Oreochromis niloticus: one gene and its partner. Each later gene encodes a partner of the first gene's protein in a complex. Links are inferred from orthologs where the notes say so. Each region holds a gene or a part of one and is shown on either strand. Other genes may lie near its edges.

Region 1 (8,105 bases):
CTTTTGTAGCATACTTCGATTGGCCCACTAGCAGCAAAGCTCGTATAGGACCAACTTGTAATACAGTATTCAACATGACGGTATCATAGAGTGCAGGAATGTAATCGCTGCTGTGTCTGTTAATGATGTGCGGATATGTCTAAAGTTCTGTATATTAACATTTACAGTTTTCACTACTTTTTTAAAGGATAATTTCGAGTCTAGTAGCACTCCCAAATGCTTAAATTCCTCAACATTAATTAGTTCTTGTGCACCCACGCGAACTTTTACTGCAGCCACGGCTGTTTTAGGTTTACTAAAAAACATAGATACGGTCTTTTTAACATTAAGGCACAGGCATGAGTCATTCAGCCATTTTTGTAAATCATGTAATGCCAATGAAAGCTGATGGGCTGCATCATCAGCAGTTTTGGCTTGTGTAAAAATTACCGTATCATCAGCATACATAATCATGTCCACATTTTTGCACACATTGGACAAGTCACTTACATAAAGTGAAAATAACAGGGGGCCTAGAATTGAACCCTGAGGGACACCTTGCGTACAGTAAAGATAGGGTGACTTGCTATTCTTTATTTGCACGCATTGTTTTCTATCTGATAGATAAGACTGTATCCATTTAACGGTGTGATTACTGAAGTTAAATGTTGACAGTCTAGACAAGAGCTTAAGATGATTCACAGTGTCAAACGCACGCTTGAAATCAAGAAAAATAGCCACAACATAACTGCTCTTGTCTAAGTAAGACTTCACTCTCTCAACAAAAACATGGACAGCCGTTTCAGTTGAGTGAAGAGTGCGAAATCCAAACTGCATAGGGTGCAAACCCGGATTGGAGTCATTAAGATATTCGATGATAGAATTAGCAACCCACTTTTCTGCTATCTTTGAAAACATAGGGAGTATGCTAATAAGTCGATAATTAGCAGGGTCTGATTTATCACCCAATTTATAAATTGGTGTAACTTTTGCCACCTTCCAACTCAGAGGAACGACTGCCTGCGTGATTGATAAATTAATAAGATGGGTCACAGGCACCAAAAGACAAGATTTATAATGCTTCAAGAAATTCGTAGCAAATCCACACTCATCCCTTGCTTTAGAACTTTTTAATTTAGAGATTATATTTTCTACTTTCACTTACTGTAATTTTTTGAATGTTGAACTTTGAATCTTGAGAAGAAACATCCTTTTTGGTGTCGCTATTCCAAATATTTTGTTGAGGGTCATAAGAATTAGAAAATCATTTAATTTAGCAGCTAGGGTGAGAGGCTCTGATACCAGTTCATTGGCAAATTTAAGTTCATTGTCTTTATCAGCATTATGTTTACTGTTACCAAGGAGTTTGTTAATATTTTCCCAAATTAGCTTACAATTTCCTTTGGCACTATTAATTAGTCATGAAAAAAATTGCTTTTGCCATTCTCAAAGTTTGTGTGACTTTATTCCTTGCAGATATAAAATTTAATCGATCAGTATTTAATCCAGATTGTAACGATTTTTTAAATAGCTGGTCTCCGAGTCTCATAAGCTGTTTACACTCAGTATTAATCCAAGGCAAAGAATAAACTCGTTTCTTTAAATGGCTCTCTTTCTGAAACTGTGACAAGACCCCTTTAATAGAAGACTATAATAAATCACAACATTTATTAGTGTCATCATATTATAGTATACTAGTCCAATCAAAATTATTTAGAGCTGCCATTAAATGTCGTTCTTGACTATTTGAAATAAATGTTTTTTTTATATTCATGCTTTTACTGACGTCCCAGTCGCTATTAGTCAGCTTTCTGAAGAAGAATATGGCATTGTGGTCAGACCACTGCCTACCATCCCCCCAGTAGCTTTTCTGGCTACTGAAGCACATTCAAAATCATTAATAACTTTTCAGGTTCTCTTAACTTGAGGCTTTCCTCCTGCATGCTTTGGGAAGACTTAAAGTGTTGTTGTTGTTGTGATTTTGCTTCTCCACAGCCCAGGAATTTTAACTATGCTCTAATGTGTACTTACTTAATATCATAAATTTAAAAACAATTAACTCACTAACTAGGTGGCTTAATGACTTGTGCTCAACTAGGAAAGCAATTACATGAATACCCAATAATAAATAATAAACAAGGCTTTTAAGTTTTACCTTTTTAGCCAGCTGTGTCAGAGGTTTAGTCCCAGCTAAGTCCGTGAACCAGTTATTGATGGAGCTCTGTGACCTCGCTGTGACAAGCCAGAAATTATCCTTCTGGTTGACCTGTGGTTTACGCTTCCCTGTGTCTGGAAACGTGCTGTAGCGCAGCTTCTCTGCAATAATGCTGCTGAAGTTTGAGCTGATCTATAAAGAGAGAGGGGAACATGTAAGATGGCCAAAACCCAGCAGGGGGGAAAAATCTATCCAGTTGTGAATGGTGTGCTAGGGCAGGAGCTGTGTTAAAATGAGCCATTACCTTGGAAGGGTTGAAGTTGACATTTTTGGCACTGCCATGTTCATCACCGGATACAGCTGGTTGGTTATTGAATCCTTGCTTCACATTCAATGCAGTCAACTCATCCTGAAACACATTTCAGCGAAGAAAATTGATATTTTTCATGCGACGTTAGTGGTATAATTTGAGATCCTAGACCACTGAGAAAGTCGGGATGTGTGGTTGATTGGTTTTGCAGACATGAGGTAAACATAAATAACAATAAAAACATTTTTTAAATTATTATTGGGGAAACATAAAGAGTCACTTTTCCATTTGCATCAACAGATTACATCAGGTTATTGCTGGATATGAACGAAAAGGGATACCTCAGCTAGGCCAAACTCCAATCTAAAAACTCAGCAAATAATTTAGCTTCATTTACAGCTTGCTGGTAATAAAGGTTAGCTTTGAAGGTCTGGCTATTCGTAAAAACAAACCATATGGCTATTAAACAGCAATAGTCACGCACAATCCAAAACCGAGCGCATATTGTTTAAAACCACAAAGTAAGACAATGGCTGCAGTTTATATCAAACTGCAAAGCATCCGCCACCCAAAGAGTTAGCTTAGCAAACTCAGCGATCTTACCAAGTAGCTGCTTGTCAACTAAGCAGGGCAAGCTAGCTAACAAACTGACAACTAGGTTCTGTTCATTGTTATTGCTAGGCCCAGACCGTTCACAGGACTGCTAAGATTGACTAGCTAGTGTTAGCTCGCACAGCTCCTCTGCCGACAATTTTCCTCGAGAAAACGTTACTCCCGGCCGTTCATCGAGCACGTCGCCAAATCTGACCTCTTTTTGCTTTGGATCTTGCGGATAAACGTCCGGAGGGCCGAGTCGGGGCCGCTTTAATGGACGGTGTTCGTAACTTAAGATCCCGAAAGCAGCCATCATCCAGCGGCATCACAGCTAAGGCTTTCCTCCTTCCAGCAGCCTGGGGCGAGCTACAACAACCAAACTCACTTCCGGCAGGGTTCCAGTCGTGAACTTCAAAATAAAAGTCAAGGAAACTATATTGCATAAAAAGCTTTGTGCTTTTTAGTTACTCTAGTAAGTAAATAAAGAACAAATAATGTTTTTTTAGTCGTTTCCATGTTTTTCCTTTCTGATTAAAAGTGCGCTATTAAAAACACTCACGTGTGTTTGGTTATTAGGCTATTATATAATATTAGGTTTAATTAGGGGGTATTTAGCTTTAATGTCTGACTAAAAATTCTACATCCTGCATAATTTGTGGTCTCCCATTTAACCTTTAAAGCCTAGTCAACACACACGCACGCACACAGATATGATTACACATGTAAATGTAAATATACATGATTTATATACATGGTATAATAAGGCAAAATAAATTTGTACATCTCTAACTAACTGGAAAGTCAATATTTAGTATGAGCACTTTTATTCTTAAAAACAGTCCGAACTCAGGCAAGCTTTCTTGTAATTTCTTTAAGATGTCTTCAGAAATAATTTTCCAGAAAGGACGCTCCAAAGCTCTTGGATTTTGCCTCCCTTTTGTTCCATGACAAAGCGTACACCGTGTTTTACAGATGGCTATACACACTGACTGCATAAGAGCTCTGTGCAGTCCAGGTCTGTGTAATTTGGAATACCTCAGCTGTTTCTCCCTGTTCTTTCAGAATGGCTTCATGACAGCTACCCTGACACTGAGACCACTTATAATGAGGCTTTGGCGAACAGTAAATGGATCAACTCAAAGGCCAGATGCATCGGTCTGTTCCTTTGTCAGGTCTTTGCTGGATTTCCCCCCCATTTCTTAAAGATCTGCCATTTCTGCTCTTGTCCTCCACTTATCCAGTTTCCTTAATTTTTTTAAGAACACACAGGGCGCTCAGGACTTTGCCATATATACAACATGCGTCACTTAGCCCATTTTTATTCTGAAATAAATGAAAGAATGACCAAAAATGCTTGGATGCTATATTTAACTCCAGTTTCAGCACATTAACAGTTATCTCAGTGTAATATGAACATCTGTCCTTCCAGCTCGGACTGAGGAAGTCAGAGTTTTTAAGAAGAAAAAACTTCACAGTTAGTCAAACATTTCGAATATTTTCCTCCCCAAAAAATAAAATAAAAAGTTAAAACACAAAAACACTGTGGACACTCTTCAAGTATGCATTATGATGAAGGCAGCAGGTAAGGTTATTGTAAGGTGTGTGATGAGGAGGTAAATCCTGGGCAAAAAATCCTGACATTCTGAGTCTGATATGCAATCATTTGGGGGTCCGAGAAAACACACACAAAGGTTACTCCAAATGAAATGCAGTGTAATTTTTGCATTATGTGGAATAGTTCAAGTTTCATAAATTAATAGGTATTCCCTTTACTCCTGTGTGAAATTTCCCTACTTTGTAAGGAATTTATGTTATTTACCAACAGCTGTTTATGCCAGTTTGGTGGATTTTCATACTGCAGGAAGAGGTGACCAGATGGGAAAATCGTATGCTCTATTTGTTACTTTCATGTTTCTTCACTTGGAGTTGATCTCAAGGGTAAAAAAAGTGGATTTCTTAGTTTTGCTGAAGTGCATGTGGGCGGATTGTTGCTGAAATCTGCAGATTGGGGCTTTACACTTTTGAAATGGTCTCATAAAACCCCAATTTAACCTTTGCGTTTGTTGAAAGCCTGCATACAGTCTTGGAGGAGGCCTTAGATGTCATGTTGATGCGGGGTTATTCTGAAACAAAAGGCTTCACAATTCCCTAATGAGCTAATGGAATATTCATGATATAAATGTCTCTGTGACTTTTATAAAATAGACTGAAAAATAGGAGTCCACTGATACAGCGTGTCTCACTTACACTGGAAATGCTTTAAAATTCAGTACAACCAGATGTGTTTTGTATTCCATGCATTCTTTTCCCCTGCCAAAAACAAAAAAACACTGTGTCTGCAGTACCCACAATGCAAATCATGTTTACTGGTAGCATTGGCTACTATTTCCTCAGGCTAATAGCCTCAAGCGGGAATAAAGTGAGGGTGACAAAGGCCTGTAAGCTCACTTCTTTTAACTGATTCTCATTTTGAAACTTGTAGCTAACTCCAGGCAAGTCACACAGGGAAAAAATCATCAGATGTTTTGCTGCTAAGGAGCAACAAAACACTTTACAAAACTTTCTTTTTCCCTCTATACTATACTGACTGCTATTACTTTAACATATTGCAATTTCCTTTACCATTAAAACAAGAGTACCATGAAGCTACATACCTCAAGGCTTTCAGGCTGATAAAGACCTCCACAGCATGTATGAATCGAGTCTGGTAAATCAAAAGCATGTATCGAAATTATTTCAATGTGAAGATAAAACATGAATTGCCCTAGTTTGTTTTCTCGAGGAATGCAATAGATTCTTTCCAAAAATTCCTCTGGTAACACTTTCCTGCGTATACATTCATAACTTTTTGAGGAATCCAAAGAAACAAGTCAAACAACCACATAACATCCTTGATGGACATCTTATAAGAATAGACTAGACACATCACCAATAAATAAAAAATAAGTTTATTCAAAAAAAAAACCTCTTCATATCAAAAATCCCACATTTAACAAATTTATATTACAGCTTCACAATCTCAAGTGTACAAAGGCAATCTTGAAAATAAGGGATATTGCACTTTTCATGATTGTTCAACACATACTTGAAGGCAGAAGTCTGCAGTCCTCTCATGTGTGAAAACAGAACATGTACAGACACACCCTGATTGTTTTCAGCTTTGTTGCAAACCACACACCATACCTCAACACCTAAATGATCTTGCTGGTAAAACATTCAACTCCAGCATTTGAAAAGATGAGCTAATTTGAAAACACAGTGCTTGCATGCAGTCTAAAAAAAAAAGCATGCTTACATGGCTAACTCCATTATATAACCTGGAATTGTTTACAGGTCTAGGCACATATCACATCTGCAATAATTTACTGAAGTTATCTCATTATAGCAACAACAAAAAACACAAACATTTTAGCCTCTTTTGGAAAGTCATTTTGAGGAATGGATAGAAGATGATTTTTTCAAATATACTGCATTTAATAATTAATTCAAACAAATAAATTCCTGACATAAACAAATAAACATCAGTAGCATTGCAAATAAGAAATTAAATCTGATCCACACCATTTTCTGCCTAACATTAATTTCCCGGACTGTCAGGTTTCAGTCATGGAAATAAAACTAATTTAGTGTCTGACTGATTAACTGACCTCCAGAGAAAAAAAAGAACCATCCTACGTCCTTCCAAGTGTCCACATGACACATAAAGTGCTATTTGTCAGAGACACAGCTCTGTTTCACTTGCAGTTAATTGTTTGGCCCCCAGGAAACAACTCCTGTGACACGGCGGCAAAGAGCAGGTGGCTGATAGATCTCACTTAGCATACTGAGATTTGATGTGCTGTTAGGAAGTGCTGTCTCTGTGTCTTTGGTGAGGAAATAAACGGACACGGTTGCATGGACTAACCATCAGTGGATTTCTTTACTCATCATTTTCACACTTGGCAGGATTGGTGTGTGTGCATGTGTGCAAATCATTTATTCAGCTGGATATTTTGTAGGATCACAGCTCACGTCCAAAGTTCAGCTCCAGCGTGTTTTATCTGTTTTGGTTTTCTGATGCTTCTACCATGGCTCTAAATCTTGAGTTTTCATCTGCCAGCAAGGCAACGGGACTGTCAAACTCCAAAATCTACGAGAATGAAAAGGATAAAACAAAATCAGCACTTGCATATAAAATCTGCACATTATCTCCAAACTTACTCCAACCGAAGATATTTCCCAGCGGCAGTGTATGAAAAGCATTTCAATATGTGCGAAATATTGTCCTCAGACAGCCTTTGCTGCACTTTGTTGAATCACAAGTTCCTATAAGGAGTAGCGATCACTCCCGGCACACAGTGGCCGACACTGACTGTTTGAGCCATGTTGACATTATCAACAAGGCTCGAACAACAAGATATTTTGGGATCTTTTATAATACAGACAAAGCCAAAGATTACAAAATGGAAATTTAATTGTCTTTTAATGCAAAATGCATGAAGTAATGAACCATTTAGGTACATCTAATATTAATAAAACAACACGTTTATGAATGTCTGTGATTTTTTCATTCCACTGCACAGCCAAAAAATTGGGTGTAAATTCAAGCTATAAATCTTGTCTCTTCTGATGCATCCATCTTATTTTACTCTACATACTGATGCCAAAAATGCAAACTCAACTTATTAAGGGATAAGGGCTGAAACACATAAACTGCTGACTACTTGTGTGCATTTCATGTTATCAGCTAGCATCAAAAGTCTTGAAAACTGCTCAAGTGAAATATGAACCGCCTCATCCCATCAGTCATATCAAACACACAGTAATTTAGGGAATATCACATCAACGATTGAGTTTCAACCACTGGACCGAGTTTCACAGTCAGACATACTGCATTTATATTCACCTGGCCGTTGTTCATGACCATGACTCTGCTGCAGCTCATCACTGTGTTGAGACGATGGGCGATGATGAGAGTAGTGCAGCTGCCAAACGCAGTGCGAATGGTCTCCTGGATGAGACGATCTGTCTCAGTGTCAATGGCTGCTGTTGCCTCATCCAATAAAAGGATCTTTAAAAAAGGACAAT
Region 2 (7,987 bases), about 13 Mb from region 1:
ACTTCTGCAAGTTACATAGACGCCTCAGCTAACATCACAGAAACGCAAGTAGTGAAATCTGCGCTGCAATCACCAGCCTGAAGTGTATTTTCAGTTTCAACAACCAAACGTGCATTTGCAATTGCTTTACAAGCAGCCAGTTGAAATGCTCACATTTCTGTCCCCGAACAGTTGTGTAAGAGCAATCTGCTGCAAGGCAACACAAAACTGGTTATACTGTTAGGTATGCTTATGAAAACCTATAAAACGGGGAAGGGGAGGGGGTCAGAATTATTCGACATTTTACATAATATACATGATGACTTTTGTGTGACGACTCTCCATGGATTACACAACCTGCAAATCAGTGACAAGAATCATGCATTGCAAACATAAAGGCAGTCCAGCATTTACATGAGCTTTCATGCGACTCTGCTCTGACGGGTCTAATAAAGCCGTCTATGTTTCTGTGACATTACTGCACTCTGACTGCAAATTTGTTTATTGGGTTTATTACAATAATGCAAACTTAGCTTACCTGCTAACTGTGTTAATATTTCTATTCTGGGAATACGTTTTCAGGAATTAGAATTTCTACATTTTAAATAACATTCAATGGGACGTGTGAAAACACAGCTAACACCCTCACATGTCCATTTCTGACATTCACACCTTTTCTGTTAATTTGACAGCATTTATTGTCATAGTTTCAAGTTTCGTGGGTGAACGAGTACACTGGTCACTTCTAAATAAAGGTTTAGGCATCAGCCTTACTGTGTGGTACCTAGTAAAACAGCACAAACGTGAATGAATGCGGTCACATTAACTGACACACATGGACAAGAGCATGACTGTGCATTTCTCTTGCTCAAGTGCTCATCTTATTAGACCAGCAGTTCTCACACTACCTGCATGATGGGAAACACTGGTGCGGTATAATCAACCAGGTGAAGTGAAACTTGAGTGGATTTTTTTTTTCTTAATGTGACCTTTAAGTAAAACTTTTTTTCTTAGTGGTTGAATAAAAACTGGAGTTTGGGGATTAACATTAAACATACTAGAAAAACTTTGAGAACCGATGCACTTGAGAAAACCATAAACAGCCAAGATATTGCACCCAACATTTTATCTCATCAGCTCTGTTTCAAGCTAACAGTAAGAAACATTCGTCAATGATGCGTTTTGAAATTCCCCAAGTCAGAAGAGAGGTCACCGAGCATCTTGATTTACTACTGATAATTCTTGAGGCCCCAGGCGCACATCTTTTATGTGTATAGCAAAAACCACAGGTATAACATGTTCACTCTCTAAATCACTCTTGTGCATGAAACCATGAGAACAGAGATGTATTACAAGCATATACAGCATAACTCAACAGCAGAATGCAGTCATGTTGAAGACTTATGGAACAAAGAGCAGTGACATAACCAGTTATAAAAACAAAGAACAAAAATATTCTGTATATCATGTACGAAAGGGCCATATTTACACAGAGTTCAGCAAAGAAACGACAAAAAAGAAAGAACATAATATTAAACTATGCTAGTTCATCAATAATGCTGCACATGGCAGCGTCCTTGTCCCATTTGTCACTCCTTGAAGTAGGGATGCTCTTCTCCTGCTGACTCGTTGCCATGCAGCTGGCAGCTGCTTCCTCTATATCCATAGGTTCCGTTTTCAGTCTGGTGGCCTGCCCAGAGGAACAGCCAACAGTAGCTGCAGGAGGCGCATTCTTTGTCCCATCACAAGCACCATCCTGACCTTCCACTTGAGGCAAGTCATCAGGCAGGGAGGCAAGGCACCCCTGGATCATCTCCACCACCCTCTCCAGATGTTTCTGGAACCTCTCTGCTGTCTCTAGCCTCTGTCTCTTCTGGACCTCCATCATCACCCTTAGTGTCTCCCTGGCTTGATGCGGCCTGTACTCATTTATCAGATGGTGCATATGGACAAACAGAAGCTTTATGTCCTCCAGCTTCTCTTCACGCTTTATACTACCAGGGCTCTTGATAAGGATGTCCAGAAGGTCCAAAAAGTTCACAAGAATGGACATGTTCAGTTTCTTGAGCTCCCGTTTGTGGTCAAACTGCATAGGGTGAAGCCTCTCAATGCCTTGGCTTTCCAGAGGCCGGATGATGAGGTCATCACATTGGAAATGGTTGCCAAACATCATGTAATTATCTCTGATGGGTGGAGGTGGCTTAGGGGCCAGACCCTTGCGGATGTTTTCATCTGTGTATTCTTTGATGTACTGCATCGGTGGAGGAGGCAGGGCGCTGACCTGCTGTGGTTCACCCATGATGCCGACCTGAAAGCACAAGGATCCATTTCAATATATATAAAAAACGAACACAACATACCAAATTGCAAAACCTAATGTATATTCATTAAACAAAAAAAACCCAAACCAAACCAAAACAGTGTTTACAGTTCACAGTAGATGAACACAAACGTTAATTTAGGCTATATGCCTAAATATAACAGAACGTTCATCAGTGTCATTAGTAAGTCTCCGGTTTACCTACTGTTACACACAAAAAATAGTGTAGTGAAAAGGTCTCTCTCTCACTTCCCTATTGGGGGCACAAGTAGACAAGGAGCAGGATGTTTGCGGCAAAAAGACGGCATAGCTTTTTAATTGCAGAGACGTTAGCTGTGTCTAAATAGCTTGCTTGCACTAACTCCAAACAAATTCAGTGTTTGTTTGAGACCATCGCTTCGGAAGATGTGCTAAGAGGCCTATGCTAGCACAAACTGCCCAGCCAGTTGTCTGTAAGGTAAATATCTGCATATAAGACTTATGTTAAACGCTGTCTGGATGGGAATAGAGTTGAGTGAAGACTACCATTTACTGTCGCAAACCTTCGTTTTATCAACATGTTAGCCCTTTACTCGCCAACTAACTGCAGTCGTTAGCTTACCAGCTAACTGACTAACTAACTGCTAACCTCCGCTAAAGAGTGAAATCGCTACACCAAATATAATGCTAACCCACAATACCGTTAAAAAGGGGAAGACTTACGATATTTATACACACCTTTCAAATAACTCTTTAGTCGCTGAAGATATAAGACGATAGACGTCTGTTAGGTCCGACTATTAGCTTGTAGCTAGTTTAGCTCCTTCCATTCCACACTAACAAGATTTTCGTTTCAGTCCCAAAGCTATTGGCTCGACGTCATTGGTTTTTGTCCCGCGGATTGGACGATAGCAATCAAACAAACTAAACACCGATTGGGTGCGAGGATACCACGCTTGAGCTTGTAGTTTTTGATAGTAAATTGCTTAATTTGAAGCTTATTTTGTACAGGACTGATGTGTTTTTACAATAGTGACCATCTCCAGCACCTGTTATCATTTTGTAATGTCAAATATTTTTCTAGTTAAAGCAAACCAGCAGTTTACAACGCCACCAATACTTTTAAGAGGTAAATAAAATGTGGAAGAAAATTACAATAGATATAAACTATTAGGAATACAAGAGACAAAAGCTTAAAAATGCAAGGATCTATTCTTAAGGTTGTGTCAGTATAACACAATTTTCTAAACTTTCCTTTGTTTTTTGTTTTTCCCCCAATTGTCACCTATGTATGGCTTAAAACAAGAAGAAGAGTAAAATACAGTTGAATTTTTTTAAACACTATAGTTTATCGAGCATCTGAAGTTCACCCTTCTGATTCTGTCACATCTTTAAAACAAATGAAAACTTTCCACATTTTTAGTTTGGAGCTTTAGATTTAGAAAATAAATTATTTAGTGTGACACAGTCCTTCACATCTACTTTTACACTTATTTTACACTTATTTACATACAGCATGACAAATATTCTCTTTTATTAAATACTCATATGGAACAAAATTGCTGAACAATTCCCATTCAACAGCACAGATGTTAACTCCTAAAAATGTTAAATTAAGGTATTTTCTGGAAATTTTTTTAGTTGACAAAAGAAAAAAGAGCCTTGAATTTTGACATTTACATTTACATTTACAGTTCAAACTGTATAAAAATATACAGTCAAAGCCGATTTTGTAATTTTGGCTTTTTGGATCTGTTTTGTTGTTGTTGTTGTTTTTTGACAATAAATAAATTAAATTAAATAAAAATGAAGTGGCAATCCCAACTCATCCAATCCACACCAAACTGTTGGAACACTTTCCTGGTGGTACACTTTCCTGGTGGTGGTGCTGTAGTATCCTTTAAATCTTCCTTTCAGTGTGACCGTAAAAATATTTTCAAATTTTAACTTTAACTAGATTTTTTTTCCATTCTAAGTTGACAGCACTACCTCGGCAGTTTGAAAACTTTCAGTCACTTTAAAATCATTAATGGAGCCCAACTATGTTCTTATTACCATATCATTACTGTTACAATATTATTGTTACTATATTATTAACCTGTATTATTATTAACCTTCTTTTCCTACACAAACCCCCAAAAAACAAGTAAAATATAAGGGAGAAAAAAGCAGTGATGGAGAAAAAACAGGGCAAATCCTAAAAGACATCATAAACATGTAACCCCAAACTCTAAATGTATTAATTATGGCAGGAAAAAAACAGATTTTGTGTGTGTGTGTGTTTCTTGCAATCTCACAATCTCAGTAAAAACTTTTGTTTTTTCCCCTATTACTTTCTTGTTTCAAGTTAAAATGATATGTGCCATTTTTTGCCCTCTTAGATTGAACCCCCCCTTTGCCCAATGCTGATATTATAACCCTAACCTCACTGTACTAGCGGGACACATTCGTGACCTTTGAAGTGAATGTTGATGGAAAGCGTTGAAAAATGTAAAGGTTAACGAGTCATCCTTTTTCTGTGGATCGCACTACTCATAGTGGCTGACTGCAATGTGCACTAAGTGAGTGAAAGTGCCTGCGAGCACCCTGAACTGTGTGTATGTGCGTGCACGCGAGTCTTTCGCTTGCACAACGCATTTGTTGCCGTAGGATGTGGTTTGCTGTGCAACAACCCTATGCCGGAAACGCTACGACATCTATCAACTTATCATCCTCAATTTTTTTTCTTGTACACTCACTGCTACTCTGTCTCTGCATGCTGTAGGCAATGCCGCCTCTCTTGGTATGACAAAACAAGGCAGTGTTTCTCATTGTGCTTCTCATAGCTGGTAAAATGTTCCCCAGGGTGATTTTGAAAGGAAATCTGATCAAAAAATCCCAACAAAAGAAGCGAGTGTCGCCCTGTAACTATAAGGAGAGATTTTTTGTGTTGGATACCCAAGACCTGAAGTATTCTGAACGTCGTCCCGGGGTAAGTACAGTATGTGCGGTTAATCTGTAGAGCTGTTTCAGAAACGCAGACTCTTGGCTGCTTGCTGTAATCTAAGCTGTTTTCTTCCAGAAAAAGCCTTTGCTGAAAGGTTGTATCGAGCTGTCCAGAATTAAGTGCGTGGAGATTGTGTGTACTGATGTGCCCATACCATGCAGCTTTAAGTACCCTTTTCAGGTAAGATTCATCATTTCCTAGAGACCAACTCAATTGTCACTGCATTAAAATCTACTAAACACTGCGTCATACACACTATATACAGTGTATGGTGAAGTATGACTGAAAACGACAACACATATAACCTTTTTTTAAAATCTCAATTCTTCTGCAGGTTTTTCATGACAGTTATTACCTCTACATATTTGCACCAGACAATGATTGCCGTCAGAAATGGGTCAGAGCTCTTAAAGAGGGTAAGCCATTACCATATATCACCAGTCAAATAATAATAATAGTACTATGACAAGTCGATGATAAACCGCTGATTGTATGAACTGCAAACACATACAGATGGATATTTCAAACAATATTTCCCTTGTTCTGTCTGGTGTAGAGACAAAGAATAACAACTTAGTTCCAAAATACCACCCAAACTTCTGGATGGATGGAAAATGGAGATGCTGCCAGCAAACAGAGAAACTGGCGAGTGGGTGCAACGTGTACGACCCAGTGGGCTATGGTTTGTAGCATTTCTTTTTCCTTCTCTTCTACTTTGTGAATCCAATGATTTGTGGAAGCGATTCCATTTAAATTCAGATGTTTGTATGGCTTTCGCACATATGGCTTGAGTAAACTTGAACTAAATGCTTTCAGTTTGCCTAATCCAGTTAAGATCGTTGTTGCTTTGTGAGTTTAGATGGGCCGAATAGCTCTCCAATTTAACATTTCTGTTTCCCCTACAGCCTCTAAAAAGCCGCTTCCCAGCCTCCCGGAGCCAGAGGTACCACCATCTAAAACACAAACGATACACGCTTTTGAAATGTTATTGTGGTTATTACTGATATTCTAATCAAGCGAGGTAGACCAAATCACTTTTTCAGTTTTATTGCCTGACATGTTTGGCTGCAATGCTTTTAAACACAGTTTCTCTCTACATATTTAATAATTAGGTCATGCATTGGCTTTTAACCACTATGTCTGTGGTTTGAGTTTGTGTGATCACTGCTCTGTTAACTGTCTTTGGTTCAGGCAGCAGCTCTATAGTTGTTTCAGCGCACATGTGTTTGAGTGTTTACTTAAAAAGATAGATATATAGATAGATAGAAAGTAATAGAAGTACATTAAAGTTTGTCAAATGAAAATCCTTGTTGATACTTTTTCCTATGGCACCATGAAAATGTAATTTCATTTGAAAGCGCTAGATTTCGTATTTGTGTACGAACTTTGTGGGAAGGGTTCACTCAGGCTTTCAATAATTTGTACCAGGTTATTTCCACCACCAAAAAAAAACATTTTCCTGATTGGCAGAGCTAAATTCAAAATTTGGGGTTATTATCGCAAAACTTCAGCTTCATGATTCTAAATATCAAGTTATTTTCTCATTTCATCTCAGAAGTTTAAGACAGTATGTCGAAATTTAGAGGCAGTAACCCGAAATTTTGACTTATGTTTGCCAAAAAAATGTTTTTTCAGCTTCCATACCTGTACAAATGGTTTTTAGATCTGATTTTTTCCTCCCTTTCCAGATGGAGCTGGAAGATTCGGGGCAACAGAAGGTCATTGCTTTGCAAAACTACACGCCACAGGGGGACAATGACTTACCTCTTCAGAAAGATCAGGAGTATCTCCTGGTTAAGAATTCCCATTCCATCTGGTGGCTTGTACAGGATGAAAGAGGGTAAAGCGCATTACAGCCAATACCTAATTCATTTGAACTGTTTACATTAAAAAATAGCAGTATATTATAAAATAAGAACCATTAGCTAAATCCCTTTTCCTGTCACTCATTAGGAACTCGGGTTTTGTGCCCAGTACGTTCGTAGCTGAAAAATCCATCAACAACTTTGAAAGATTTGAGTGAGTTTGAATTCATTTCTTTTACTCGATGCTTTTAATTTGCAGTGTTCATTTCTGCTAATGAATTACTTTGTTTTCCCTCCAAAACTGATTTAATTGTTGTTAATTTGTTCTCAACAGATGGTACAACAAAAACATTAGCAGAGCGCAAGCAGAAGAATTGTTAATGAAAGAGGTAAAAACAAAAAGTCAGTCCTGTTTGGCCATAAAAATTCCAAATAATGATTTTGATATGATGATGACAGGCAAGATTTAGCCCCTGTATGACACAGTGCATTTAGATGCGACTGTGCCGCCAAGAGCAATGTTGCATCTGCAAAATCGCTGCATATGCACCTGCACAACAACAATTCGACTTGACATAGAACATGAAAAAAAAAAATTCTCACAACCACAAAGTTTCCTCCAATGTTGAATTTCCTGCTTTGCTAAGTTTTGCAAGCAGGAAGGGAGAATGGTTATCCATCGTCGTCTCTGAATTAAAACGGCCGCCAGATGTGTTACAGAATGCGCCGCCGAACGTGGGAAATCTTATGGGATCTCGTTACTCTGTCTTTAGGGTAAGGAAGGTGCATTCATGGTGCGGGACTCAAGACAGGCGGGAGTGTACACGGTGTCTGTTTTCACCAAAGCACCAGGGTAACTGTTATTTATAGTGTTCTTATGAATTTACTAAAAAAATATCTATCAAAAAACTCTATAAT

What was found.
Region 2: med12 (region 1) and med7 share a complex: the UniProt entries of both Homo sapiens proteins name them as parts of the mediator complex. The link is inferred for Oreochromis niloticus from reciprocal best matches to the Homo sapiens genes MED12 and MED7.

Annotation. Positions count from the first base shown.
Region 1 is NC_031966.2:17,413,828-17,421,932, reverse strand, and holds the start of med12 (mediator of RNA polymerase II transcription subunit 12), read right to left. Parts: upstream 3,425-8,105; 5' UTR 3,355-3,424; coding exon 3,253-3,354; intron 2,544-3,252; coding exon 2,439-2,543; intron 2,327-2,438; coding exon 2,135-2,326; intron 1-2,134. Other genes in the region: wu:fb13g09 (multidrug resistance-associated protein 5), read right to left, coding at 7,075-7,167, 7,924-8,088. UniProt on the Homo sapiens protein: Component of the Mediator complex, a coactivator involved in the regulated transcription of nearly all RNA polymerase II-dependent genes.
Region 2 is NC_031966.2:30,306,224-30,314,210, forward strand, and holds the start of med7 (mediator of RNA polymerase II transcription subunit 7), read right to left. Parts: upstream 3,175-7,987; 5' UTR 3,002-3,174; intron 2,288-3,001; 5' UTR 2,279-2,287; coding exon 1,517-2,278; 3' UTR 1-1,516. Other genes in the region: itk (tyrosine-protein kinase ITK/TSK), read left to right, coding at 5,112-5,249, 5,340-5,444, 5,599-5,680, 5,821-5,946, 6,170-6,207, 6,953-7,104, 7,218-7,283, 7,404-7,458 and 1 more. UniProt on the Homo sapiens protein: Component of the Mediator complex, a coactivator involved in the regulated transcription of nearly all RNA polymerase II-dependent genes.